Mus musculus: one gene and its partners. The protein of the gene in region 2 binds, or shares a complex with, the protein of the main gene of each other region. Links are inferred from orthologs where the notes say so. Each region holds a gene or a part of one and is shown on either strand. Other genes may lie near its edges. The genes, in order: Eftud2, Snrpf, Lsm3, Ppih, Snrpd2, Srrm1 and Prpf8.

Evidence for each region.
Region 1: Snrpf (region 2) and Eftud2 share a complex: the UniProt entries of both Homo sapiens proteins name them as parts of the minor spliceosome. The link is inferred for Mus musculus from reciprocal best matches to the Homo sapiens genes SNRPF and EFTUD2.
Region 3: Snrpf (region 2) and Lsm3 share a complex: the UniProt entries of both Homo sapiens proteins name them as parts of the U4/U6-U5 tri-snRNP complex. The link is inferred for Mus musculus from reciprocal best matches to the Homo sapiens genes SNRPF and LSM3.
Region 4: Snrpf (region 2) and Ppih share a complex: the UniProt entries of both Homo sapiens proteins name them as parts of the U4/U6-U5 tri-snRNP complex. The link is inferred for Mus musculus from reciprocal best matches to the Homo sapiens genes SNRPF and PPIH.
Region 5: Snrpf (region 2) and Snrpd2 share a complex: the UniProt entries of both Homo sapiens proteins name them as parts of the SMN-Sm complex. The link is inferred for Mus musculus from reciprocal best matches to the Homo sapiens genes SNRPF and SNRPD2.
Region 6: Snrpf (region 2) and Srrm1 share a complex: the UniProt entries of both Homo sapiens proteins name them as parts of the minor spliceosome. The link is inferred for Mus musculus from reciprocal best matches to the Homo sapiens genes SNRPF and SRRM1.
Region 7: Snrpf (region 2) and Prpf8 share a complex: the UniProt entries of both Homo sapiens proteins name them as parts of the U4/U6-U5 tri-snRNP complex. The link is inferred for Mus musculus from reciprocal best matches to the Homo sapiens genes SNRPF and PRPF8.

What each region holds. Positions count from the first base shown.
Region 1 is NC_000077.6:102,878,176-102,882,451, forward strand, and holds the start of Eftud2 (116 kDa U5 small nuclear ribonucleoprotein component), read right to left. Parts: upstream 2,801-4,276; 5' UTR 2,720-2,800; intron 1-2,719. UniProt on the Homo sapiens protein: Required for pre-mRNA splicing as component of the spliceosome, including pre-catalytic, catalytic and post-catalytic spliceosomal complexes. Component of the U5 snRNP and the U4/U6-U5 tri-snRNP complex, a building block of the spliceosome.
Region 2 is NC_000076.6:93,586,859-93,591,002, forward strand, and holds the start of Snrpf (small nuclear ribonucleoprotein F), read right to left. Parts: upstream 2,801-4,144; 5' UTR 2,684-2,800; coding exon 2,681-2,683; exon of another isoform or gene 2,555-2,680; intron 1,266-2,554; coding exon 1,140-1,265; intron 1-1,139. UniProt on the Homo sapiens protein: Plays a role in pre-mRNA splicing as a core component of the spliceosomal U1, U2, U4 and U5 small nuclear ribonucleoproteins (snRNPs), the building blocks of the spliceosome.
Region 3 is NC_000072.6:91,519,035-91,523,120, reverse strand, and holds the end of Lsm3 (U6 snRNA-associated Sm-like protein LSm3), read right to left. Parts: intron 3,573-4,086; coding exon 3,477-3,572; intron 881-3,476; coding exon 800-880; 3' UTR 501-799; downstream 1-500. UniProt on the Homo sapiens protein: Plays a role in pre-mRNA splicing as component of the U4/U6-U5 tri-snRNP complex that is involved in spliceosome assembly, and as component of the precatalytic spliceosome (spliceosome B complex).
Region 4 is NC_000070.6:119,317,724-119,321,885, forward strand, and holds the start of Ppih (peptidyl-prolyl cis-trans isomerase H), read right to left. Parts: upstream 2,801-4,162; 5' UTR 2,752-2,800; coding exon 2,686-2,751; intron 2,511-2,685; coding exon 2,446-2,510; intron 2,131-2,445; coding exon 2,107-2,130; intron 1,842-2,106; coding exon 1,797-1,841; intron 864-1,796; coding exon 821-863; intron 1-820. UniProt on the Homo sapiens protein: PPIase that catalyzes the cis-trans isomerization of proline imidic peptide bonds in oligopeptides and may therefore assist protein folding. Participates in pre-mRNA splicing.
Region 5 is NC_000073.6:19,148,430-19,152,637, forward strand, and holds the start of Snrpd2 (small nuclear ribonucleoprotein Sm D2), read left to right. Parts: upstream 1-1,408; 5' UTR 1,409-1,463; coding exon 1,464-1,465; intron 1,466-2,788; coding exon 2,789-2,968; intron 2,969-4,046; coding exon 4,047-4,208. Other genes in the region: Qpctl (glutaminyl-peptide cyclotransferase-like protein), read right to left, coding at 1-90, 547-756. UniProt on the Homo sapiens protein: Plays a role in pre-mRNA splicing as a core component of the spliceosomal U1, U2, U4 and U5 small nuclear ribonucleoproteins (snRNPs), the building blocks of the spliceosome.
Region 6 is NC_000070.6:135,350,347-135,354,446, forward strand, and holds the start of Srrm1 (serine/arginine repetitive matrix protein 1), read right to left. Parts: upstream 2,801-4,100; 5' UTR 2,772-2,800; coding exon 2,751-2,771; intron 1-2,750. UniProt on the Homo sapiens protein: Part of pre- and post-splicing multiprotein mRNP complexes. As a component of the minor spliceosome, involved in the splicing of U12-type introns in pre-mRNAs. Involved in numerous pre-mRNA processing events.
Region 7 is NC_000077.6:75,503,777-75,506,861, reverse strand, and holds part of Prpf8 (pre-mRNA-processing-splicing factor 8), read right to left. Parts: intron 2,385-3,085; coding exon 2,271-2,384; intron 2,195-2,270; coding exon 2,021-2,194; intron 1,768-2,020; coding exon 1,574-1,767; intron 533-1,573; coding exon 293-532; intron 199-292; coding exon 57-198; intron 1-56. UniProt on the Homo sapiens protein: Plays a role in pre-mRNA splicing as core component of precatalytic, catalytic and postcatalytic spliceosomal complexes, both of the predominant U2-type spliceosome and the minor U12-type spliceosome.

The DNA of each region.
Region 1 (4,276 bases), on a different chromosome or scaffold from region 2:
AAGCTAACATGTGGATGATGAGAGTTGAACCTGGGTCCTTTGAAAGAGCAGTCAGTGGTCGTAACCACTGAGACATCTTTCCAGTCCCATCTGGCTTTATTTTTACATTTAAAATAGGTTCTCACTGTTATCCCAACCTGGCCTTCAACTCAAGATCCTCTGCCTCTGCCCCCCCCCCCCACATAACAGGTGTACAAGTAATGCCTAGTCCACCTATTCCCTTTCTGTATTTATTTAATCAATTAAACTGTGTGTGTGTGTGTGTGTGTGTGTGTGTGTAATTTTATGCATTGGATCATTTAGGAACATGAGGATTGTCATGTGAGTTCTAGGTAGGATCTAACTCCAAGTCTTCATGGTTGCCTAGCAGGTACTCTGAAATGCTAAACTCTCTTTCCAGCATCTCACTTAAAAAAAAAAAAATAGTATTCTCAAAATATCACAATGCAATCATCAAAATAAAAATGAATACCAGCAGGTTATACTACCTAATCCACAGGCTCCACCAAGTTTGAGAAACTGTTCCAGTCACAAACGACACTGCTAAGGACACAAACTAGGATCGTACTTGACTTTCACGTGACACTTTTCCAGATTACAAACCAAGGCTTTTGAAGAATCTCCCTTCGTGTGGCTTTGCCTCTGCTCTGAGAGGTACACGATTCCAACTTGTCCTCACTGATGATTCTAACTTTGACCCTTAATTATGGTGACAGCGGACATGCTTGTCCCTTAGTGATGGGTAAGAACTCATTGTTCTCACTGCTCTTTTAAAGGACCCAGGTTCGAATCTCATCAACCACACGCTACCTTACAATTGTCTGCAACATCAGCAGATTTCCCCCCACTTCAACGACTGAATATTCTGTTCAAAAGAACAGTTTAGATCTCACCCTACCAGCCTTCCCAGCCCCTCAGCCTCTCACTCTCGTCAGTATCTTCTGTCCCAAATGCTAGGCAACTGTTGTTATTCTAAAAAACAATTCTACGGTTTGCGAGCAACACAAACCAGAGCAGGGGAAAAAGCATCAGGCCCCTGGGGTTAAAGACCTCGATCCATCCTATCTTGGCCTCATTTCTAAGGATGACGTAACTCACAGAAGTTAGTTTACCTCCTTAGAGTGATTTATTATTGCCTAAAACCTTATAAAGGCAATGAGTAAGTACCTAGCTGTGCAGCCTGATAACCTGAGTTCAGTCCTGGAAACCCACTGAAAAGCTACATAGGGTAGTGTGAGTGTCTGTGATCCTAGACGGCCAACAGGAAATGGGAGGCAGAGATTCTCTGAAGCTCAGAGCCAGCTAGCCTGGTATTGGCAGTAAGGAGGAGATAGGACCAAACCCTGAAGCTGTCCTCTGACCTCCACCTGCAAGCCACAGCACATCTGATCCTCACTTACTACACAGAAACACACACACACACACAGAAACACACACAGTGTGATTATCCAAGCATAGGATCTTATACCCATGATCCTACATACATCCTGAGAGACCCTGTCTCAAAAAGCAACAAGTAACAAATGTTGGTCATAACAAAACTTGACCTTCTTGAGCACGTGAATCCCCATGCTCCTTTGTGTTCACGCACCAATGCCCCTGACAGCACCTTGCACAAAAAGACACTCAGTAAAGCTAAGGGAGTGGAATGTTTTGTTCTGAAATTCTGGTATTTCTTACAGTATACCTACTGTTTTTATTTCTAAGAGGCAACCACAATTATGTTCATTGTCTTCTCCCAAGATTACCATCACAAATTTTTAAAGAAGGTTGTTTACTGAACAAGCCAAACTCATCTCTGCCCCCAGGATAATTGTCATTCCCATTGTCCTCTGGCTATGTATACCTTCTTAATTCATTTAACTCACCCTTTTCCTTTAATGTCACCTATTTGTCACTCCACATATACTTGCCAGGCCACCCTTACACTAATCTCTTAGTGTGTGGCTGGGTGCTTAAGATCGAATCCTGGGCCTCACACTCTACTAAACACTTCTCCACCGAGTTACACCCCTCGCCTAAGTAAAGTCAAGGTTATGCCTGAGTAGTACTTAGGGAACATGTGTGTGTGCCCGCTACTGATAAATGTTAATAATAAAATAGGAGCAAAACGACAACAGTGCCTGGGACAAAATAGGCCCTCAATACGTTTTGCTAGTTTTGTTTTTCGAGGGTGGCTTTGGGTAGGGGAGTGAATTAGTGATATGCTTAGTTTAAGTAAAGCTACTCTAAATAACCAAAACTGCATCTTCCCACTGCAACGCAGAATCTCAAAGGAATGCTGGAATCTTTTCTGGTTTTGGCTTTTTGAACCAGACCCGCTACTTAGCCTTGAACCTGCACCAATATTTCTGTCTGCATCTCCAGAGCGCAAAAATTAGGCACTCGCCATCACAGTCAGCTCGGATGCAGAATAGTTTGAAGATGGAGACAGTCTGGCGGTGAAGCAGGCACCGATGGAAGGGGGAGTGGCAGGGGCCTGGGTCTTTACAGCGCCACCTCTACTAAGGGACAGGATCTTAACCACGTTGGGGACCGCGGAAACCCCGGAATCGACGGTGTGTGCGTGCGTTGGGGTCTTTCATTCTCTTTCCCACGCCAGAATTCAATTTACGCGTTCGTTAAGCGAAAGGGATAAGTACTATATAAATCGCCTCTTCCCAAGCTCATGTTTCGCTCGTTCCCCAAGCCCCGAAAGGACCCTTCCCGGCCAGCTCACCCGCCGAATGCTCAGCCGAGTGCCCCGGTCCGCCGCCTGAGCCCGCGCTTCCGCCGCACGCCGCGACAACGCCGGCGCCCGGCGCTAGGAAGGACCCCGAGCGCGTCGCCGGACCGCCTCGCCTCGGAGGACAGCTCTGCCTAAGGAACAGCTTCGAGAAATTCTGGCCCCGGAGACAGAAATGGGAAAGGCCAACTTGTTGGTCCTCAAAACGAAGCGTGGACTTCTCCACAAAAAAAGCAAGGCCGGAGGATTCTGATCAGGCGCCTTAGGACAGCCTGAAAGGAGGGCCTTCGGGCCGGTCACGTGGGCAGACTGGTGGCGCCGTTGCTAGGCAACAATCTCTGTTGCGAGGGCGATGCACTAAGGTGTTCTACCAGATCCGGGGTTTCTCGAGAGAAAGCAGGGAGTCCAAGACTGGGTGAGGGTTTAGGGACAGTAAAGGGGATTGCTCTAGTCATTCTATAATTGGAGAAGGCTTAGAACTCGACAGAGAAATGGGTCGGGTAGCGAGAGTCTATCGTCTCTATTGCTTAGAGGCTGAGCCTAGATCATGATGAGCTCAGAAGTTTTGGAGAGAGCAAACTAGGCACAGCGAGATCTCCTCACCCCCCAAAATATTGCTTAGGGTATGAGACTCTTGAGTACAATTGTTGGCTGAGTAACACAGCCCACTTCTCGGCGTTCCATTTCCCATCATGGTTGGGATGGCTGTGGATTTGCTTGCGGACCAGCTCATTTCCTGCCCTAGGGCTGATCATGAGTGAACTATGGCTCCAGCTCACCAGGATTCTGAGGTGGAAAGAGGTATCATAAGTAAATGTCAGAAGCCAGACCGGAACACATAGCTTCCTATGAAAACAGCCCCATCAGACACATACCGGGAGGCGGCAGGACTTCAGTGGTAGGACTGGAGATAATGCCCACACAGCACACATTTGCCTGCCGCTCTGTGCTGCTCAGGGATTTGGGGATGGAGGCTACTGAGTTTTCTCCTTCTGACACTTCTCAACTTCCTGCTTTGTCATTGCTTTTGGTTGAGGTGATTTTTTTTTCTTCATTAAAGACATTTAGTGAAGTGTGAAATTTTGTCCTTGAGCTGGAGTAGATAATAAAAGAAACCTCTCTGTCTCTCTCTGTATCTGTGTCTGTCCTCCCCTCTCCCCCCCTCCCCCGCTCTGTTCCTTTATGGTAATAAACTGATATAGAGAAATCCTATGTGAAAGAATGAAGAGTCAGAAATCTGAACTCCAAATTGCCTCCTCAGATGAAACACCTGAATTAATAGGTGTGTGTGTGTGTTGTGGTTTTGTGTTTTGCTGGGGATCAAACCCAAGGCATTTGCATTCACAAGGCAAAATCCTACCGCTGATCCAGCCCTTAGTGTCTAAAATATTGTTAGAAGCAGAGAGCAAAGTCAAGACTTCAAACGGGAAACCTTTCTGTTTTGTTCTCAGTGAGAAGCCTGGAATACATTTTCATCACGCAATTCCATTTTACCTGTAAAGGAAGAAACTAGATTTTTATAACACTCCAGGTTAAGTATCAGATTGCTTT
Region 2 (4,144 bases):
CCTTGTCTGACTTTGATGGGCAGCAGGCATATACATAGTACACTGACAAGACATCCATAAAATAAAATTAAAAACTAGAAATCAAAATGAATGAACAGGTTGAGAATGTAGCTTAGTGGCAGACTGCTGGTCAGCATGTACAGAGGTCTGGGCTTGATCCCTACAAGAAACTGGACAGATGGGGCTGGAGAGATGGCTCAGCAGTTAAGAGTGACTGTTCTTCCAGAGACCCTGTGTTCAATTCCCAGCAACCACACGGTAGCTCACAACTATTTGTAATGGAATCCAATTCCCTCTTCTGGTGTGTCTTAAGAAAGTGACAGTGTACTCACATAAAATAATGTTTTAAAAAAACCAAACAAACATAATAGACTGTAAAAATGCGTTATAGCTATATAACGGGATATTATTCAGTCCTGAAAAGCAGTAACTTCTATCAATGAATCCTGAAGCTATAATCAAACCAGACAAAAGGACAAAAAGCCTACCCCAGGGCATTTATGGGGCTTTGTTCCAGGGCCTCTAGGACCAAGGGTGTTGGAGCTCCTTGTTTCAAATAGCTGAGCATCTGCATAGAACCTAATGTCCTTCTAATTTCTAGACTGATCATAGCCTAGTACAGTGGAGAAAGCAAAAGGACTGTGTACCTCGAACATAAGATATAATTTCTCTTAAGAATTTTTGATCTGAAGTTAGCTGAATTTATAATACATTCCACTTACATGAGAGACAGTCCCACTCTTAATCATAGGGCTGGATTACAGGTGGATTACAGGTGGTAACAGAACTATTTAATGGGTACAGAGTTCCATTTGAGTACTAATGCCACTGCATCATAGTGCTAATCGCCTATACAGACACGTCTTAGAAAAAGACAGGCTGAATCATTGTTTTCTGTAATAAACTAGTTTTCCCTTCTGCTTTAGAGACCAAATGTCAAAGCTCTGTGTTCTGGTGTAAGTACTCCTAAGAACATCATGGTTCAACCTCCTCCCTGGTTCATACTTTAATCTCGACTCCACTTTCTATTGTCAATCTGTGCGCATTCCCACCAGTCTCAGTAAACCTTTGAGGAGTAAGGTGACACAGTAGAAACCTGGTTTCCTGCTCCTCACCCATGCTCCTCCTCCTCAGCATACCTGCATGTTCATGTAGCCATCCACGGAGACCAGGTAGCCCTTGTACTCCATGCCCCACTTAAGTTTCACCATCACTGGCTTCCCTGTCAGCCCATTGAGAAAGGGCTTGGGGTTGAGGGGTAGACTCTGTATAAAAACCAAAGGCAGCACTCAATAATTTTTGCTTACCTCAGCTTCCACCACCCACTCTCTACTGAGACACCAGTCAAGACTTTATGACACAGGGTAAACTCCGATCCACCATCACTTTATAATTTGCTGGAGGGTGTCTGAGAGAAATTTAAGTACCCATTTAGCCAACTTCATAGTCCACTGACAGAAACGAAAATATGAATTATGCAATTAAATGTCGAATGACAGATGGGAGTGGGGCAAGTGTGTAACACAATGACAGGGCACTGCCCTAGGATACTTAGGTCACTAGTTCCATTTTGAGCACTGCCGAATGGACAAAAGCCCCAAATACCTACATTATCCAAGCTCTAAAGGAATCAAAATAAAGGTACAGGGTGGTCTCTGCAGACATTAAAAAAAAAAAAAAAGCTCAATATCGTCAGTGAGAGGGCCTCTTAATGCTAAATCAAGAAGTATTATTCCCTTTAAATTCATAACCACCCCCATACTCCATTCCACTCACACACCATCCCAAAGAATCTTGGAGAGCACAGGGTCTAAATGAGTAGCCAATTTACGCTGCCTATAATTTATCATCCACAAACCACTTATCAAGTCATGTACTATTGTGACTTAAAAGAATGCTCCAATGGTCTCTAACTGCACTTGACAGAGCCTCATATTTCCTAGGAGGCGTTAAGGTCCCAGGCTGTATTTTAAAACCATCATTCTTGCAAGCAGCGGTCAATTCTTGTCAATTCCAACTGGTCAAACCTACTTTCTACTTGGAACTCGCGCAAGAAATACTCTTCCACCTGCTCTGTGACCTGGATGTCTGGTTATTTGACACCTTCTGGAGAAGAGCGCTCCTCCACTGCGTTATAACTAGGCAGTGCACCTCTCAGAGCATCCTATCAGCTCCCTGCTTAACAATCACCGCTACTTGTAATTGCTTATTTTGTTGTTATTATTTGACGGCTGCCTACCTCCCACTCCTAAGAAAACGCAGAGTCTACCTTACCACCCCATCTTCCTGGCGCCTAAGATCAGTATTAAATGAGTGGAAGGGTAGCCGGGGTTTTCTGCGCCAGAGGACAATCTGCTAAAATTGTCAACAGCAAGGAATAAATGGCGCACTGCGGAGCGTGCTAGGTAGAAATGGAAAACTCGCTTCGGTTTACCCCTACCCTGTGAGCCCAAACTAGGCTACACCTCAGGCTCCGGGACAAACAACACGCGGAAAGGTGGCTGGGGATCTCGGGGAGGGGAAGGGCTTCCGCGCGCGCGCCGCCAAGGCCTCCGACGTCGGGAGCAGGAGCGAGCGGCCAGCCGCGCGGCGCCTCGTGGGGATGAATGGGAGGCGCAGGGGGCGGCGGGCCCCGCGAGGCCGCCCGTCCTCCAGCCCCCGCGGCGCTCATCGTCCTTACCATCGCGACCACCGGCGAGCGCTGCACCCCGCTAGCCGCCGACTCCGCCGCTGCCCGCCCCTCGTGACCGGAGCGGCTGCCGCTACAACCAAGCGACCCGCGCTAAGAGAAATGGCCGACAAAAGCGGCCTGACCTTTCACCTCACGCCGCGTTGTCTCGGCTTCTGTGATTGGCCACCAAAGACGTGTTTACTGATTGGAGGGGATGGCGGTACTGTTTCCTAGCAACCAGGTAAGCGTGTGTTTGTGTCCACTGCTCAAGTTCGAAGTGGGAACGATTGAGCGACCCCAATGTCTTTGCTTCGGGACAAGGGGAAGCTAAGTGCCCTGGCGAACGGACTTGGTTTCTTTAGCTAAAGAAGGTTTAGTCTGTCCTTCAGCTGAAAGAACGAGATCGGGTTCTGGAGGTCATCCTCCCATAGATCCAGCACTTGGGGAACACCTCTGGCACGGCCCCCCTTTTATGGGACTGTTCTTTATTACAGAATGTCCGTCCACTTGCGGGTTTTTAAAGGAAGCTGGGGTAGCAAGACTACGTGAGTGCTAGTGAAAAGCACTCAAGTGGGGCTTTACAACAGTTGAAACCAGGTCAAGTTAAGTCTCGGATAATGTGGTGGCCTCTTGTCGTTCTGATGTCTAAGCATTCCCAGAACCAGAGGCCAAAGGAGGTCCGTTTACGTGTGTTTGTGAATAGGATGTGGGGAATTATTGACGCTACCACAGGTTAATCGCTCTGATGGAAAGTTATCGATCAGAACCCCGTTTAATTTCCCCATAATCTCAACATTTCAGTATCGCTTCACCTGTGATATGAAACCCGTGTAAAAAGAGTACTTTTTTCTTTTTCGGGAGATCTAACCCTATATGAACCTGAACGGTTTTTTGTTTGTTTGTTTGTTTTGTTTTTTTGGCATGGATTCCCCAAATAACTCGAGATTCGAGATTGGCCCAGGCCTAAGCCTAAAGACTGTCGTTTATATTATTAAAGTATGCCAACACATTCTGGGGGTGTTGGCTCAATGGAGAAGAGCGCTTTTCGCACGTGAAAAGACCTGGGTTCGAATCCCATCCCCACATGGTGGTGACTCACAACCATCCAAAGTTTCATGTGCCGGGGACCCATCTCTCTCTTTTGACTTCTGTGGGTGCCAGGCCCTCCCGCGGTGCACATGCGCACATGCAGACAAAACATGATAAAGAAAATTTTAAAAATGATGCTGCTAATCTCAGATACATTTTGATCAGACCGAAATCTTAGCTCGGATTTTTTTCCCATGGTAATGGAAGAATAATTACTGTTCCTGACACTCAAATATGCTCTACTTATTCAGTCAGCATTGACAAATTTATAAATCTTAAACTCACAATCCTGGGGATACCTAGTCCAACTTCTAATTTAATACTGTAGGTGATGAAATACTGGGAATTAGACTCAGACAGATTCATGTTAGTATTTTTCTCCTT
Region 3 (4,086 bases), on a different chromosome or scaffold from region 2:
CCACAGCCCTTGCTCTATTTTCTCTATTTCACAACAGGGTAACCACCAAGTGTTGGCCCTGTGTTCTTGTGATTCTATGTGAAGCGTAGGCTGGCTGAAGCCGGAATGGAAGTAGCTTTGCTTTCACTGCTTCCTGCTCAGACTCCCCATGTCCTTGTCACTGGCGGCCTATGAGCCAGGACTGGAAGACAGTTTCTTCAGAGTCACACAAGTCATGTTTTGCATTTACCCAGTAGGTTGACAGCTGGGGTCACGTGCCTCCCTTGTCTAGTTCTTACTGGGTGCTACCTGAGCTTTTGGGGCCCCTAAGACAGGTAAGGATATTTGCAATGGCCTCCCACCCCAGAATTGCTAGAACAGCACTCCCTCAGATAAGGGCAGGGCAGACTGGCCACTCTCCTTCCTCACACCCAACACGATGCCCTAGACATGGGAGACACACTGAACACACCAGGTAAAAACTTGAGAATCCACAAGACACATTAAAAAAAAAAGTAATAAAAAAGGAAACATCAAATTTAATTTAAAGAAAAACAACCTGAAAGTAACTGCAAGAACAATGGGCAAACCAACTCCTGAAAAGAGCAAGACGGTCACACTGACTGGAGGGCTGGAGAAAGGGACAGGTCATTTAGCTGGAGAGCTTGTGAGTTGCTTGCAAATGAACTTCTTCGAGGGTAGAGTGATCCTGGGGTCATTTCTGACTATCAGGATTCGTGTGAGCGTCTCTCTCTGGGAGTGTCCTGTACATCTCAAGAGGCAAAGTCTCCACTTTCCTACACAGGATCCATCTTTTGTCTCAGCCAACTCTCAATGGAGGGGCGACTAGAACGACGCCATCTCCCCGGACGAAGAGCATAGGGATGTTTCGTTTTGTGGACTGGAGGAGAACAAAAGGGAAAGGCAGGATCAGGGTAAGCAGTCTGAGTGCCTGTTTCCTGGGTGACCGCAGCAGGGACCACTGCGCACCGAGACCCACTCTTCTCTCGCTGTGCACTGCTAGAGTGCACTTTCCAGGCTTCTTTGTGACCAGACCCGGACACAAGGTAGATGGTTTTGTGTTATTTTTTTGAGATGGGGTCCGTCTTGCTGTGTAGCCCATGTTAGTCTGAAATTCCTAATTCCTATACCTCTCACACCTCAACCACAAGTGCTGGATTATTATTAAGATTTATTTTCACTGTGTGTGTGTGTGTGTGTGTGTGTGTGTGTGTGTGTGTGTGTGTGTGTGACTTTTCTGGCACTTGGGTTCTTGTATGTACATGATACACATGAACTCAGATGCACACATACATATAAAAATTAGATAAATGTAAAATAAAAACAAGTCAGACATTATGGCTCATGACTGTAATGCTAGCACGGAGAAGGCTAAGGCAGGCAGGTCTCCATGAATTCAAGTACAACTCAGCTACATGGCACATTTCAAAACTGCCTGTGTTATAAGTAAAGACTGTCCCAAAACACATATTAAAAGGAGAAAAGCAGCAGCAAGTGCTCTTGGCCTCCGAGCCGCCTCTCCAGCCTAGGTGCTGGGACTGCAGGAGTTTGCCACTATGCCTGGTTTTGAACTGACTGGGGGAGAGGGTGCTGGGGATTGAATTCTTTCACATTCTGAGCGAATGCGTTACTACTGAGTTACATCCTCAGCTATGGCGGAATTTTAGCCATGGATTTCAAGAGTGACTTCCTTTGAGTGTCAATGGGTAGTCACTGTTTACCAATGGATGGACCCTGTACACTGAGATCTCAAGGAACAGGAGGGTAGAAGTTTAATGTCCCCAACTTAGCACTATGCTGACTGTAGGCCAGGCCTCAGCCTCCAGTGAGCCCAGTCATCACACCTGCTTCTCTGTACTCCTGGGGGTGCGAATGGGGAACACAATTTCCAAGGCTTTAGCTCAGTGGTCAGGCTTTGGGCAGTCAGCAAACATGGTGCATCTGGAGTCATCACTAAGCCTTGGTAAAATGTTAGCAGAACCTGGAGCCAAAAACCTCCTGAGCCTATAGACTGTGGAGACGAAGGCTGGAAAAAGCCAGATGTTTGTAAGTGCTCTGGTGTGACAGATACATTCAACAGGGCAGTACAAAAATGAGATCAGGCAAGAACTGGCTAGTTATCAGGAAGACAAAAAGAAACAAAGCCAGATGCTTTTAAGCCCAACTATGTAAGTACAAAAGAAGCTGTGATGAATAAGCTTTTCAGTTAAAACCACTCTGTCCTCAGGCAAAGACCATGCAGCTGCTGAAGGGTAGGGTTAATCAGGGTGGTCTGAGAGAGACGCTGTCTCCTTGGTTTCCAAAAGGTCTGTAATTATGTGAGGACTGGTGCTTTAGGATGAGGTCAAGATGGTTCTGCTACAAAGAGGCCATCACCAAGAGCAACCTGTCAGTTAACCACACTGTGGGCTATATGGTGAAGGAAGGGGATGAACATGATGGACAGCAGGAAAAGTGGGCTAGAGCCAAAACACTTTAGCAATCAACAAGAGCAATACTCTAACTGTGGTGGACCGAGAACCAAAAGAACAGGGCCAACCACTTTCTGTCTTCCTATTAGCTAGTTGGTCTCAATCCAGTCACTCAGGAGTTAATCATAAACACCGTGAGGGGAAAACTCTGGGAATCCTAGTGGTCTGTAGGCCCCTTCCTATTTTGGAAATGTTCCTGTTCATTAGTTATGTCAGCTGAGAGAGGGCAAAACATACAACGGGCCAAGGGGAAGCTGCTGTCTGGTTTCCCATCTCAAAGGTAACGAGCGATATAAGGCAGCAATGTCGTGTTCTCCACAGTGCTGCATGATAAGGACTGTAGATACTACCTACAGCACCAGTCTGTCCTGCCTCTGTGTGTAGTCAAGGCACATGACACATTCGTAGAGACCATGAAGAGATGCTCAGCAGTTAAGAGCATCGGCCACTCTTCCTGAGAACCCAGGTTCAATTCCCAGCATTCACAGGGTGGCTCGTGACTGTTTATAACTCTAATTGCAAGGAATCTGATGACCTCCTCTGGCCTCCTTGGACACCAGGCATGCACATGGTACACAGACATACACAGACATCCAGACACATAAATTTTAAATTTAAAAAGAAAAGAAACTATTGCATTTGTGGGCTTGGTGTGGTGGCACAAGCTTTTAATCCCAGCACTCATGAGGCAAAGGCTCAGACCAATTCAGCTGACAGGAAAGGGCACTGTCAAACTCTTGAGCTGCCTCTAGGCTGTGCAGTGTGTGCCAGGTTCCAGCTTTGTGAGCTGTCACCCATGTTGGGGCAGGCTTTAGTGATACAGCTGTCTTTAAGATCAGTGTTAAAAACAGGTTGTGTGACTCCAAAAACACTTGCATTTTAGTTATACAATCTATTAACCGTTCCTAAGTAGGTGCCAGAACATAATGGGCTTTCCACAAATATGTGTTAAGCTGTTGCATGTTGAGAACTGACATTGTCAAAGCAAAGACTTGCAGGACTCACTTTATATATCTCTTCATATGTCTCCTCATCAATCTCTATCGTTGTCACAGTTTCTTCTACATCTCCCAGGATCATATTTAAATGTTGATCATAAGCCTGAAGTGGGAGGGTGAGATATGAGAAACAAGTAACATGGCTCAAAAGATACAAGTGGATTTTAAGTAACAGGTTCAATACTTACACCCAAAATTTTACATGCAAATAACAAACACCCTCTGTGCTAGCCTATCATGTCTTTACAAGCCATTCCCAGTGACAATACTGCTTATGATAAAAAGTGAGTCCACTCAATGCAACCCAAGAACACTTAAGCATCGCCTTCACTTGTTACCCAAGGCGGTCCCACCAGTCACAATAGTTTATTATGAAAAAACAGCAAATTCTGTCAGACTTCTTTTGAGATACTAAGCAGCATAAAGTCCTGTCACTTGCTGTGTGATAGGACCATGGTTCTCAAGCAAGGACACTGTCATTCGATGCTCACAACAAAACAGGTGCAGCAAAATTTGACCCATTTTTGTGGACATGGGTATGTGTGTGGTGTACATGTGTACTACATGTTTACATGTGTGTGGATGCCAGAGGTTGAAGCTGAATGCCTTCCTCAGTT
Region 4 (4,162 bases), on a different chromosome or scaffold from region 2:
CTAAAGCCTGCCATTGCAACCCTGTGTAGGAGGAAGACCTCTAAAGACTCACAAAAATCTAACTAAATTTACAACTGATGGAGTAAGACCATCTCTCAGACAAAAGGACTTAGTAACACACCCACATAAACAATGCTAACAGCAAGGAGACAGCATGCACAGAGGTGGATGGGTAAGGAAAGAGCTGGTTTAAGAAAGAGATATTCTAGCTTATTGGACACACTCCAAGGAAGGATGGAGACACCAACAGTCATGGTCTTTTTGTGAAGAATGGATCTGCTGGGCTACCTCAGCAAGCAAGCGAACACCCTTTAAACTTCCTGTCTCTCCTGATCTGATCCCTTGCTTGCTAACCAGCTTGTGATTAATACCTTAGCTTTCAAAAGGAAAAGAGAAAGAAAGACCGGCCCCTAACCCCCCCCAGAGCAATCCAACAAAAAACTAGAGTTTTTAGACAGTGACAGAAGATGTGCAGATGTGGAAGGAAAAATGGGAGACAAAAGCAGTCAGCTCCCTTCCTTTTGAGGGAAAAATTGCAGTCAATTTCAAAGTTTTCTGTGAACAATGAATGTGGACCGTCTCAGATCACCTATAGGTATGCCAGCAAAGCCCAGTTTCTAGTTACAAACAGCTAGGGTTTGGAAAGTGGAAGTTTATGGTTCAGTAGAGTATTGTTATGTGTTCTAAGGACACAGTCAGTGGTAGCCAGCAACTCTACAGTACATCCCATGCCCTCTCCACTTAACTTAGCTATTGCTCTTAAGTCTCAAGACTAGGGCCCTGCCAGAAAAAAATAACAAAGAAAAGAAGCAGTACTTACATTAACAAAATCTCCACCCTGAATCATGAAATCCTTTATGACCCTGAAACAGTTAAAAAAAAAATCCTGAGAAAAGATTCAGTGGATTAATCACTGAAGCTTAGAAAAGGGCGAGCAAGTACAGTCTTAACTCAGTTGATCTTAGATGCGTGAGTTCGCACCTGAACATCAGGAAGGGGCTGAAACCAGGCTAGAATCACCAACAGTCACCAAAGGAAAAAATCATGTCCAGGGCTTATTGCAATTTGGGGGAAAAGAACAACAGCAAATCTAGGTGAATGGACTACTGCACACACAGAGACTTGATGGTGTTAGCTAGTACACCAGCTATGGCCCTTCGCTTTGCTTAGCCTTCCTTGAAGAACTCGGAAAACACATACTACTTCACAAGAATGCTAGGGAGGGTTACAGACTGTAGCTTTAAAGCCCTTATGTGGGAGACATGGACATTTTCAGGATTAGAATAGAGCAACTTCTGTCAAACTCTAACAAAAAATAAGTAAATATATCATGAAAGCCAGGCTCCTACAGATGACTGCCTAGCAACGGTAACTAGCAAAGCCTCTGCTGAAGTCCTGACTGGCGCCAGGGAGATGGGTCAGTGGGTGAAGTGCTTGCTGTGGCAGCCTAAGGATCTGAGCTTAGACCTCTGGGAGCACGTGGCCACGCACCTGTACTGAACAGGTACTGAAAGGGTACAGCATGCTTTCCTTGGCATCGTTTCTGCAATACAGCATTCCACCAAGTCAGGGATGACTTAAGGCGCTGTGCATAGGCTTCATGGTGTTCAGTACCAAATCCAGGGCCTTATGAATGCTGGGCCAATTCTCTACCACCGAGCTACAGCCTCAGCCGCGAACATGCCATTTAAAACAACAGCCGTAAGCCTCACAGAGTTTGAACTCAGGTGTGCAGGACTGCCTGTACAGATACCAAGCAATGACTGCATTTCCAGTTTTCCAAAAACCTCCCTTACCTGTGGAAGGTGCTTCCTTTGTATCCTATCGGAACGCCATCTTTTCTGTAAACAAAGAAGGAAGAGACTTGGAATGGGGAAACACAATGGTGGGCCTTTCCCATTTAGGCTACACCAGAGGCTAAAAGGGCTCTCACTAAGATCTGGAGGGGGAAAAAGAGAGAGAAAGAACCCATTCAAGGTGTCACCCTCTCTCTGCATATCATCTTCCATTACTTAAGACCTGTTCATGGTTCTCCAATACCCTCACCAAACATCCAGGGCACCCCTTCAGGAGTAGGCAGAGAAATCAAACACATCTGAGACTGACCTGAACTCTCCGGTGCAGAATTGCCTAAAGGGAAAGAGAGAGCAAACGATTTAGCCTTCGTACGATCACTGCTTGAAGCACCTCTAATCTCTGGAGAGGAGAGTTCAAACACTGGGGCCAGTATGTCCGCCAACTAACTGATCGGGCGGATGTCAGGGCAGGTAGACTAGTGATAGAAGTTGATATGGGATCAGTCACAGCCGGTAGCTGTTTGGCCAGTGAAATACCCAGACCACAGAGCTGCAAGGCAATGAATAGATGGACAGAGGCAGACATGGCAAAGACCGACTGGAGGCCGGCTTCGGGCTCAGCTCTGGTTCACTTGGAGCATATCCTTACCTAAAGTTCTCTGCCGTCTTAGGCACCACGTCTGCAAAGAGCTCGATTTTCATGCGACCAACTTCCTGCAGAAGAAACGGGAGACGCAACACTCAGCTCACGACCGCTGTCCACGAAGCTCGAAAGCTCCCACCTCCCTCCGCCGCCTGGCCCAGCCGGTCTCGGGAGGGCTATAAGGGGCTGCCTCCCTTACCCGAGGCCAACCAGCCCGCACGGGCCGCTAGGTCGCCCGCACCTCACCTGGCCGCCAATGCTGACATCGAAGAAGACCACTGGATTGACTGGACTTGAATTTGCCACCGCCATGGCTTTGACCCGGAAGTAGAAACCCGGCTTCCGGTGGCAGGTCCCGCGAACTTCATCCGGAGCGCAGACGCAGTGGAAACGGACCGCGATTGCGCCCCGCCCCGGAAGTGTGGCGCGCGCTGAGGTTGTTGGGAATGGTACTGTTTGGCTGAGCTGGTCGGAGCTGAGGGGAGGAAACGCAGGCATCTTTGTCAAAGTCTGTGGGCTCCCCACTTGCATGACTGTATTAGTGCAATAGAAATGAATCTTCTGCAGACAGCATGTCCTGAGCAGTCACACTTGGTGTCCCCTGTCACAGCTCATGAGCCGAGGATCCCTGAGTCACCTTCCATATTTTAAAATGGTTTGTTACTGTAGCCTGGCTCAGTCGGGTGCTGGAAATGTAATTTTATTTATTTTCTTATGATTGTAAAATTTTTTATTTTTTAATTCACATTTACATCCCCAGTGCTGCCGCCTCTCCCGGTTTCCCCACCCCCTCCTTCTCTTCTCCTCTGAGAGGGTAGAGACCCCCTCTGGTTTTCCCTCCACCTTAGCACATCAAGTCTCTGCAGGGCTGGCCTCATCCTCTCCCACTGAGTCCAGACAAGCAGAAGAAACGAATTCCACAGCAGGGCAACAGCTTTTGGGATAGCCCCTACTCCAGTTGTTCGGGACCCACATGAAAGACCGTGTGTGTGTGGGAGGGGGCTAGGTCCCGCCTGTCTATGCTCTTTGGTTGGTGGTTCAGTCTCTGAGAGCCCCAAGGGTCATAGTTGACTCTTGGTTTTCCTGTGGAGTTCCAATCCCCTCGGAGGCCCTCAGGAGTCCTCAAGCTCCATCGGATGTTTGGCTGTGGTCTCTGCATCCCTGAGTCAGCTCCTGGGTGGAGTCTCTCAGGACAGCCATGCGAGGTTCCTGTCTGCAAGCACAACAGTCTCAGGGATTGTTGTTTGCCCATGGGATGGGTCTCTAGGCTAGTAAATCGTATGGGGCTTTGCCTATTTAAAATGCTGTTTGCCACTGCTGGTAGCAAAGACCAGGAAGTAAAGGCTGGCTTCTCTTATACCACTTTTACCAAGTACCCTTCTGCCTCTGTTTTGGAGGGCATTCAGTTGCTACCCCCCCCCCCTCTTTTCCTTCTCTCATGCTTGCTCCGGCCCAAAGATACTTATATGTAAGTACACTATACTTGTCTTCAGACACCCCAGAAGAGGGCGTGGTTGCTGGGATTTGATCTCAGGACCTTCGGAAGAGCAGTCAGTGCTCTTACCCACTGAGCCATCTCTCCAGCCCTGGTTGTTACACCCTTTAAGGTTTTTTGGTTTTTGTTTTGTTTTGTTTTTGCTTTTGGTTTTTTGAGACAGGGTTTCTCTGTATTGCCCTGGCTGTCCTGGAACTCACTCTGTAGACCAGGCTGTCCTCGAACTCA
Region 5 (4,208 bases), on a different chromosome or scaffold from region 2:
ACGCAGGAAAGTTCCCCAGAGACGCTGCGGATCCAGCTGCCCTACCACCAGCCGCAGCTTGGCTTCTGAAAGGCTTCCGATCAGCGGGACCTTGGTTGGGAAATGGGATGGGAAAAAGAAAAATGAAAACAACCCCATTCCCACCTTATCCTGGGCGCCGTTGCCTACTAGGAGTCCTGGCTCTTCCTGGTAATGCAAATCTCCAGCATCAAAGATTTCCTAGACTGGGAGAAATCTTCAAAGCAAATCTGGTCCAGCCTACCGCAGTCCTAACGAGGAAATTGCAATCGGGTGATGGAAATTTCTAAATAGATGGCTTGGGCATAGAACTCAGTTCTACCAGTGTTGCTATGAGGACTCGTCATCTTCAGTGGGGTCTATCACAAAACAAGCCTGAAGCCTTATTTTGTTGGGTAGGGGCACGCGCTCAAGTCATGGATAAATGGCACAGGCGGCAAAAGCCAAATGATAAGACCACGGTAACCTGAGACTCAATACGAAGGGAAAGAGGGAAATGACGCTGGCTGGGCACCAGCCAGGGCTCACCCGCAGATCCCGGCTCCGTGACATCTCCTCAACCCCAGGGTGCCAGCTGTTCCAGACGATATAGAAAGCCAAGCCCATAGCCAGCGCCAGCAGCAGCAGGGGCAGGAACTGCACTCGCGGCAGAAGACGGCGCTTGGAAAGTGAGGGTGGTTTCATGAGGCCACGATCCTCGAGCCGCTGCCGGGGCCGCCCGCGGCTCCCGGGACTCATGGTAGCTTTGCTCTGAAACCAATCCCGGTATGGTGGTTTGAGTTTTAGGCCAAGATCCGCCTCGCTGAGGTTACAAAACCCAATAAAGAAGCAGAGTAACTGCGTCCTTCCCTGAGACGATTGCGATTGGCTGTCCTAAGCGCCGCCCCACCCAAAAAGGAGGGCGGAAACCTTAAGGCCCGCCTCCACGGAAGAGGACCAGTCAATGGGCTGCGTCCGAATGTGCGAAACCTTCCAAGGCGCGGGGTCACGCCCCTCACGGAAGTCGATCAAGAAACTGTCGTTCAAGGAAAAAAGGGGCGGCATCCATCCCTAAAACAAGGAGCCGATTGGTTTACCTGAAGCCATGCCCTCAAGAAAAGTGTCCGAGGGTATTTGGAAATGGGGTTGTGTTTTCCATCTTCCAACTGGACGGTTTGACGGGAAAATAATTCTAGTCAGACCCCGTATTATTTTCCTCATGAGCAGACACCCTATTGTGATCCTCAGAAGCTTCAAATCCTCCTTATAGGCATTTTCTACAGGAGAGTGCAGCCTGAAGGGTCGCTATGGTAACAGGCCACGCCCACAGCCGCTGGTATTTGGTTGCGCAGGCGCCGACGGAAGTGAGCCGCAGGAGACGGAAGTCCCGCCCTTCTCGCCCTGTACGCCAAAGGCTGGAGCAACGCGCTTGGAGGCGGGAGTGATCTGCGAGCGAAACCTACACCATGTGAGGCCGGGCTGGGCTTTGGCGGGGCCGTGGAGATGGAGGTGGACAGTTTAGCTGAATAACGGTCGAAATGGGGTGTTTTTATAGCTGAGGGTAGAGTTCCTCGGGCAAAAGTAATGTTTTTCCTTCTGGGGTATTTGAGATCGGGCTTGGGGCCTCGCTCGGATCTTGAGTTCCGGAGAGGGGACAGCTTTATTCCATAACGGGCATGAGACTCTCCGAGGTCCTGAGTCTTGTGGAAAGGAACCATAAAGGGAAAGCTGAGTCTGATGGCACATGCCTGGAATCCCAGGCCTCGAGAGGCTGATGCAGGAGGTTCGCTAGTTGGCCTTGGCCAGCTTCATAGCGAGACCGCTTCCAAAAGTAATAGTAATTTTAAATGGAAGTGGTCTTATGAATAAAGAGCTTGGCGGGGAAGGAAGAACTGTTAGAAATAGTGAAAAGTATGGGACGTAACCAGGATAAATTAGAGAACCTAACTAGAGACTGTCAGAGTAGCAGGGTACTACAGTGGTTTGGTGCGTGTTTATTCATTGAGCATATACTATGTAGACTGCTTGTAAGTTAAGACACATGGTAAATAAAAGGTCCTTGCCTCCAAGGGGGTGGGGGAATCTCCCTGGTGCTTGTAAAAAGAGTGGAGTAGGAAAGCCATAGAGTAATAAATAGGTACATACACCTTAGATAATCAGGTTTGGATGGAGAATTGAGCAGGAAAGATATAATGCCAGTAGGTAGCACAGTAGGATGCATTGAAAGCCCAGTTCTTGGGATGCAGATTTAGCTCAGTGGACAGAGTACTTACCTACTGTGGGTACTGGGTTTGGTCCTTAACCACACACAAACTAGACATAGTGGCACGTGCCTGTACTCCCAATACTCAGGAGGCAGAGACAAGTCTGAGTTCTGGGGCAGCCAGGCTTCTACAGTGAGATGTTGTGGGGTGGGGCGGAGGTTCATGGAGAGAGATGATTGAAGTTTAGGTTGCGGATAGAAAGGGCCAAGGTTTGGATGTACCATGGTGGCAGATGACAAGATATAAGGATAGAGTAAGGTTTGAAAGAAGAATCAACTGCCAGGCATGATGGTGAGCCTCTGTCATCTCAGACCTTAGGCAGTGGAGTCAGGAGAATTGAGAATTCAAGGTCAGCGGTGGGTGGAAGAGGTTAGGTAGATGAGCCGGGGCAGGCTACCATGGAAATGTCTCTCCTGCCTCCAGAAAAGACTGCACCAGAAAGGGGGCTGGGGAGACACTGGACAGTGTGGCTTTGATCACGTACATTTCCAACTTGAACCCATCTCACCCCTGGGTTCTCTATCCAGGAGTCTCCTCAATAAACCCAAGAGTGAGATGACCCCAGAGGAGCTGCAGAAGCGGGAGGAGGAGGAATTCAACACAGGTCCCCTCTCAGTGCTCACGCAGTCGGTCAAGAACAACACGCAAGTGCTCATTAACTGTCGCAACAACAAGAAGCTGCTGGGCCGGGTGAAGGCCTTTGACAGGTGAGTGCTGTCTTGGGGAGGGCTGGGTCTGGGTCCGAGGGGCCTGAAGGAAAGGTCATTCCAGAAGGATAATAAGGTGGGCACACACGGTGACAAAGCACCTTTAATCTCAGCACTCGGGGAATCACTATGAGTTGGAGGCCAGCCAGTGTCTCATGGCACGACCTAGCTCAAAAATGTAGAAAGTGGCGATGCTTAACCTTTTTATAATACATATCTTACGTGTTTAGGTGTTTTGTCTGCATATGAGTCTGTATGCTATGGACATGTCTAGTAGTTATCAGAATCCCCTGGCAGGAAATTGGACTGGAATTTCGATATTTGATTTGTTTATCTGTAGACCAGACATCAGTGTCAAATATCTTGTATTGCTTTGTAGTTTGTTTTGAGACAGGGTCTTTACTATGTAGCTCGAACTGGCTACAGATGTGGCAGAGGCTAACCTTACACTTCTAATCCTCCTGCTCCCATCTCCCGAGCGCTGGGATTACAGGATTGCATGAAGCATGCCGTCCTGCTTTATTGTTTTAGTTAGCATGGGACTTGCCTTGTGACTTAGCCATACACATCTGGCACTGTACTTTGCTCTTATTCACTGTCCTCAAGCAAGCATTTGTGGAAAGAACTGATCCAAGTGTGAACAATGGCCACCCGGCCCCATGAGGACAGGACTGTGCAGCACTGGAGTGCGCGTGTTGGGAGCCGTGTCTAACCCCAGCACCCTAAGACCCTCTGGAGGGAGCAAGTGCTTCTCTCCTGCTGTTTCTCTCAGAGTTAGAGTTAACGCCAGAGCCAGGGCCATTTTGGTGGGCTTTACTCTGCTGGGTCCTGAGTTCTTTATTCATCCAATCTTCACACCAGCCCTATGAAATAGACTGTCTCCATTTCATGAAGGGGGAAACTGAGGCACAGAAGGGACACTATAAAGTGAAATCACTTTGCAGCCTGCCCATCCCCACTGTGGAGCCTGGGCTTTCCTTATGCCTGCTGCTGGAGAGTTCACACAGTGCCAGGCAAAGGTGGGCACTCGGAATGCCCCCCCTTACTCCAGCTTCCCCCCCCACCCCTACCCCATCAGGCACTGCAACATGGTGCTGGAAAATGTGAAGGAGATGTGGACTGAGGTTCCCAAGAGCGGCAAGGGCAAGAAGAAATCCAAGCCTGTCAACAAGGACCGCTACATCTCCAAGATGTTCCTGCGCGGGGACTCGGTCATCGTGGTGCTGCGGAACCCACTCAT
Region 6 (4,100 bases), on a different chromosome or scaffold from region 2:
CCTAGTACTGCAAAACCAAAAAGGTTTTAAAGAAAAAGAAAAAAAGTTTTGGGCCAAGAGTGGTGGCATATACCTTTAGAGATAGGCCATCTCTAAAGAGTTCAAAGCCAGCCAGGAGTGGTGGCGCATGCCTTTAATCCCAGCACTTGGGAGGCAGAGGCAGGCTAATTTCTGAGTTTGAGGCCAGCCTGGTCTACCGAGTGAGTTCCAAGACAGCCAAGGGCTACATAGAGAAACCCTGTTTCAAATAAAATAAAATAAAATTCAAAGCCAGGCTGGTAAGAGGTCCTGAGTTCAAATCCCAGCAACCACATGGTGGCCCACAATCACCCGCAATGAGATCTGACGCCCTCTTCTGCTGTGTCTGAACACAGCAACAGTGTACTTATTAATAATAATAAATAAATCTTTGGGCCCGAGTGAGTGAGGTCCTAAAATTCAATTCCCAACAACCACACGAAGGCTCACAACCATCTGTACAGCTACAATGTACTCATATACATAAAATAAATATTAAAAAAAAAAGTTCAAAAGCTGTCCTGGTCTGCTTTTGATCTTATCAACCACCTCTTCAGAAAGAAAGAAAGAAAGAAAGAAAGAAAGAGAGAGAGAGAAAGAGAGAGAGAGAGAGAGAGAGAGAGAGAGAGAGAGAGAGAGAGAGAGAGAGAGAATGCTATCACCAATTCTTTTTTTTTTTTTTTTGGTTTTTCATGCACCACCACGCCCGGCTTACTATCACCAATTCTTAAATCGAATTCTACTCAGAATCAGGTTGTACTAGGTAACTGATCTAAAATTACCTCCCCACCCCCATTCTCCCCTTTTTAAATTTTTTTGAGACAGGGTTCTATGTAGCCTCACTCTGTAGACCAGGCTGGCCTCAAACTCAGAGATCTGCCTGCCTCTGCCTCCCCTCCCTCCCAGAGTGTTGCGATTTAAGGTGTGCGCCACTGCCTAGTAAGTTTTTCTAACTCAGAACATAAATCCCCCACTTTGTCAGTGTGTAGCATATGTCTGAAATTCTAGTACTGAGAAGTCAAGGCAGGACTCTCTAGGTCCAAGGCCAGTTTGGGTTAGAGAACCCAGTTTCAAAACACTTCAACTGCCCCTGCCCCCAAAAGACCCAACCCAGGGAAAACAAAACTACTTCATTTAAGTAAGTGTAAAAAGAATATTTTAAAAAGTGGGTTATTTTCCAGATCCTGTCCTTTTCAAAGGACATCTTCGCCTGAAAATTGACATATCGCTTTGTTTTAGTTCTTCAATCTCCTTTCCACTAGAAATAACTGACAAGCCTGGCCAGGGTGCAAGTCTTCATTCAACCCCAGCATTCGGGAGGCAGAGGCACACAGATCTCTGAGTTCAAGGCTAGCCTGGCCTACAGACTACAGAGTTCCAGGATGGCCAAGGCTACACACATAAACCACTTCCTGAAAAGGCAAAACAAAAACTGAAGGGGGTGGGGGGAGAAAAAGAGACAATTGACAAGTGAAAGAAACCTTCGACTGTTTTTAAGTGTTAACTTCGGTGCCATAAGAAATGAGTACTGACTACAAAGGTTAAGTGCCTAGTTTGTAGTGCAAGTATCTGAGGTGCTGGAGATAGACCCCAGTGTCTTGTTCATACTAGGCAAGCTCTCATGAACCACATACAAGAAGCACCTTTATTATCTCCCTCCTCCTTCCCCCGCCTTCCAATTTTTTCTTTAAAAATGCACACAAACTGTAAACTATATGCTTGATTCAGAGAATGCAAAACTCTAAGCAGTGGTATGACAGAGAGCTGGTATCTGGATTTTTACCAAGCTGTCTTACAAGGTTCTACTCTGCATTACAAGAATCAGCGATTCCTAAAGGGTTTGTTGCTACTTTTAATCCCACAAGTGTACGTTCCCATACATCTAGATCTCGACCTGTAGCTACTTTCCTTCCAAAGTGGACCTAATAAACTGCCTTACTGTGTGGGATCTATGTACCACCTCCAAGGTAACGTCCCCTGCCTGGACATGGGCCGCTGGGAAAGGGTGCTAGCGAAGAGCGGGAAGCGCGACGGAGTCACAACCGTAATCTGTCTCCACCCTCGCACACACCGTTCACTCCAAAAGCCTCCGATTCAAATGTTCCAACTACAAATTATCTAAGCTCCCCTCCCCGAAGAGCTATCAAATTGGGCGGGAGCGCTCACGAACTCTGACCCTGCGCCGCCGGGAAAGCTTAAGACCCAGAGGGTGGACGCTGTACGTCGGGGTTTGGGGGGGGGGCACCCATTTTCTCCAAAGCTGCCACTAAAAAAAAAAAATAATAAGGCCCCTTTCCTCAAACACCTCTCAGGACGGAGCCCCAAACCATACAACCGGTACCCCGCAGCCGCCCCGGGCTTCCCACCGGCCTCCCCCTAAAGACTTCCTCCTTGAGGCTCCGCTAGGCCCCGAGCCCGGGCGGCCGGCGCGGCGCCCGGCCTACAGGGCCTCGCCAGGCGGCCGGTGAGGTTCGGCTCCAGCCCATTCCCGCCGCCATTTTCCGGCCACCGCCACCGCCGCGTAGGGGGGGACGATCCCGGAGGAGGAGACTGCGCAGGGGCGCACCGGTCTCGGCCGCAACGCCGAGGCCGGGGGACGCTGCCCACGAACCCCCTCGGGGTCTCTAAGGCCTTCCTCCGCGGGCCGTCCTGTCCGGGATTTTGAGCGCCTCCCCCTCGGGTCTTACAAACAAGCCTCTCGCCTCTCCCCGGATCCCCGCGCTCGGACTTACGCGGAAGAATCCCGCGTCCATCTTGCCGCCTCGCTCGGAGATCGCTCCCTATCCCAGCGTGCACCGCGCCGCCGCGACGGAGGGCGGGACCGGCAGAAGGGAGCCCAGCGCCGGGAGGCTGCGCGCGCCGCTACACCCGCCCCGCTCCGGCGGGCCTGCGGCTGCGCCTGCTCAGTGCGCCACGAGAACGACGCGCATGCGCAAGCGCACCAGGGCGGCAGCCTTTCGCTAGGAGGGGAGGCGAGCTGGGCGACTGGAACCAATGGAAAGAGGAGGGAGAATCTTTGGGTCGCCCAACCCTACCGATCTTTTTTTTTTTTTTTTTTTTGTGGCGCATGATCAGCGGTGTTCGCGCGACTTGAGTTGATCCTTCCTTTGATCCGTAGTGGGAGGATGTGGGGAGTTGAAGGGAGATGGGGGGCGGGGGGGAAGCCTCAGTCCTGGGGTGCATGGGTAGTCATAAAAGAGAATGCTTGCTTAGGGGCGGCCCGATACGCCAGTTGTTGTCATTGTGAAAGTTGAGCTAGGAGTGGGTTTTGGGAGGTTGCCGGCGGGGTTGAGCCTGCAGCGTCAGCTCGTATGAAGCCCGCGTGTTCGCCGGATGTGCGTCGCATCTGGCTTGTTCTTGAGGTGTCCATTGGATACCTTTCTGTGCTTCTGCTGCGAAACCACGCCGAAGGGCAGGAAGTGGAAGAGGGCCAAAACCGGCCCTTTAATGTGCTCACCAAGCGCTTTCTCTCCAGAAAAGTTTCTCTGGGGCCACTTTGTAACATTCCATCTTTCACAGACACGCGCACCTCTAATGCTTTTTCATGGAAAAGTCGGGAAGTGGGCATGTCTGCCCTAGGAGTGCTAGTGTAGAAACCCGAATGTCTCCAGGCATTTTTTTTTTTTTTCTTTTCCTGGCTTTCCTACTTAAAGGGGGTTGACTTTCCCATTTGAACGCCCACAGACCAGATATGACTAGGTTCGTCTCGTCCATCAAAATCATCAAATGAATCGAAATAGCAGGGAAATCAGAGAGGCTGTCTTTGAGCCTTCTCTGTCTCTGTAGATGGCAGTAGCTTTCCTTTTGTTTAGGACAATCTTGCTGTTGAGAGTCCTCTTTCCTGCACACCCCACTCCCAAGCCCTCAGGAAACACACATGCCACTATGATGGAGGCCCAAGGTCCCTTATCTGAGTTGAACTCCTGCACTAGTTCTGTCACAGATAGCCCTGTTCCTGACCTTGCCACCCAGCATCCATTCTGAAGGAGGCCCGGATGCTGAACGATGCTGTTGAAAACCCTAGGTATCTCTGTGAGTTCAAGGCCAGTCTGGTCTACAGAGTGAGTTCCAGGACAGCCAAG
Region 7 (3,085 bases), on a different chromosome or scaffold from region 2:
AGACGCAGACTAAGTGGGCTCACACTGTGGTCCAGGTGTGTGCCATAGCTACTCACTTGGGCACGAAGATCAGATATGCAGATGAACTTCTTAAGCACGTTTTTCGGAAGAATGTACGTATAACCAGTCTCCTTAATGTCATCAGATGAAACATAAATATGATTGGTCCGCAGATGCAGGTTGGCAGCAGAGATGGCCCTAAAGGACAGACAGGGAATGCCAGCATCTCAGCGCAAGCCCATGCAGCAACATCAACAGGCCTGCCCATCCCACCTTCATGCCTCCACGGTACCTGACTCTCCATTCAGTCTTTGATGAGAAGGTCTGGGTCTCATAGTTGCTAGTGGTTGAAGTGATAATCTCGTCACCGTGCTTGTTGACAGTTCGAGTCTGTGTAGCAGTGAGCTGGGACTGTTCCTTGGTCTGCTTTTCAATCTCAGCTATCTGCTGCCGCTGCTGCGATGGCGCCGAGATCTCCATTCCCAGGATGATGTCTCGAATTTCTGACTGTGTCAGTGACGCCACATTCACGCTGTGGGGACACTGAGAGTTAAAAGAGAAGGAGCTCTTCCTTCCCACAAGTCCCTTTTGTCCTGATGACAAAGTAGACTTGGGGAGACAGTGGGTATACTCTGCCAAGATAATCCTCAAGTAAGATTTCTTTTTTTGTTGTTTAAAGATTTATTTATTTTATTTATATAAGTACACTGTAGCTGTCTTCAGACACTCCAGAAGAGGGAGTCAGATCTCGTTACAGATGGCTCTCCAGCCGGTAACATTTCTTTTTAATTTTTAAATGTATCTGCTCTGGAGGAGGAAGCCATGTATCACATTGCAAATGCAGAGGTCAAAGTTAGAGAAGGTTTCTCCTCCTCCTGTGGGTTCTAGAGATTGAACTCCTGATAGCAAGCACCTGTACCCCTGGACCTGAAGACGCTGTCACACTGTGGAGACTCCCTACAGCCAAGCAGCACCACACTAATGCACACGACCTTAAGCTACTTCACCGCTGTAGCTTTTCCCACAGAAACTGTCCTGACACAGGACAACTCTCAAAAACGGAAACCCCAAATTGGGTGTAGTGAGACATACTGATATTTCAGCAGCTACAAGGTTAAGAGGGTTGTTGGAAGCTTTAAGGCCAGCCTGGGATACAGAATGAAATCCTGTCTCAAAACACAAGAGAAATGTAGACAGAAGGAACAAAAAAAGAGAGTGAATCTGTTCAAAATGGCTTCAATGCCTTCACTGAGATCTGTGTTTCTTCCTAAGTTTCCAAGATGTTATTTTTCTTTTTCTTTTTTTTCTTTTTTTTTTTTTTTTTTTGGTTTTTCAAGACAGGGTTTCTCTGTGTAGCCCTGGATGTCCTGGAACTCACTTTGTAGACCAGGCTGGCCTCGAACTCAGAAATCCACCTGCCTCTGCCTCCCGAGTGCTGGGATTATAGGCATGCATTACCAAACACAGGTAAAATATCTGAGAAACTGATAAGCCTAAATGTTTCCAAACTCCAGAGCCTATGTCCTGAGCCAGGCTTCCCCTCGCTGCACTGGGACACCTGGCCCCTACTCACTTGTTTTTCTTGCCGTAGTCAGCCAAGATCAGATCCTTGAGCTGTACCTCCACCTTGATCCATTCCTCGTCAGTCAGCGTGGGCCAGATGTGGTGGGGTTCCGTAACAGTAGTCTTGTCTGGCTTCAGGATCACCTTTGCTCTATCATTGTTCACATGCAAAGCCCGCAGAATCAGAATGAGACGGGAGAAAGCCTGGGAAAAGACGTGCAAAGCATGACATCAGTTTTGTGAGGCTCTCTCCTCCTTTACCCTAGCCTCACAGCCTCACTGTCCCCAGTTGCTTAAGGTGCCAACCCCTCTGCAAGAGTTCCTGCTCTTTGTATACATAGGTTCAGATTTTAAACTGACCTCATCAAGTGGCTTCTGGAGAACCCTGAGGCACACAGGCTCCTCTCCTGACTCCACATTCACCCCAGAGAGGCCCTCTTCCTAAGCATCTAATTACCGTGTAGGAGGAGATAGTCTTGAGCCAGTCATCATAGAGGTTGAAAAGGACCATCTGGGGCTCGGTGGCTTTAAGGATGAGATCCCCAAACTTCTCCACCTTGAGACAAGCCTGGAAGGGCAGCTGGAGCTCCGATCCTTTGATCACAATATTGGGGAAATCCAGTAAGTGGACCTAAAGGAAAGCCCGAGGTCAGAGACACAGCCCAGAGGGCGTGGGCCTACCTCCTTCTACTGTGTCCACCTCTCACCTCCAGAGGATCCAGCATGCCCTTCCGAGTGACAATGATCTGTTTAGGCTGTTCCTCCACAGGCAGAGATCGGATCAGGGCAGCCACTTCCTCAGCAGTCTTCCACTTGGCCAACTAATAACCAAAAAGGAACAAAACAAACTGAGTCTACCTTCCTCAATTATCTAGAAAAAAAAAAATCTTGAAATAAACTGTTTCTATAACGACGAACATGGATGCTAAACTTAGTAATCAGAAAAAGATGCCTACATGTTTAATGATGAATTATAGTTGTTCAGAAACAGTGAAGTAAGACAGGCGCCAGAGCTACTGGCATCAGATTAAGATCATGCCCTTACAGAAGACGTGAGGATGTGGTACCCAACATCCACACCAGGCAGCTTACAACTGCCTGTAACTCTAGTTCCAGATCTGATGCTCCTGGCTTCTGTAGGTGTCGTGTCTCGCCCCCCCCCCCCCGATATTTAATTTTTAGAGACATGATCTCACTATGCGGTCCTGGATGGCTTAGAACTCAATATATAAAAGAGGATGGCTTCAGCCCGGCGTGGTGGCGCACGCCTTTAATCCCAGACTCAGGAGGCAGAGGCAGGCTGATTTCTGAGTTCGAGGCCAGCCTGGTCTACAAAGTGAGTTCCAAGACAGCCAGGGCTATACAGAGAAACCCTGTCTCGAAAAACCAAAAAAAAAAAAAAAAAAAAAAGAGGCTGGCTTCAAACTTGCAAAGATCTACCCAGAAATATTGTTTCTCAGTAGAGAAATTGGTATTTTTTTATCATGTCCCTTTGCCCTCTACCAAGAGAGACAGCCAGGTT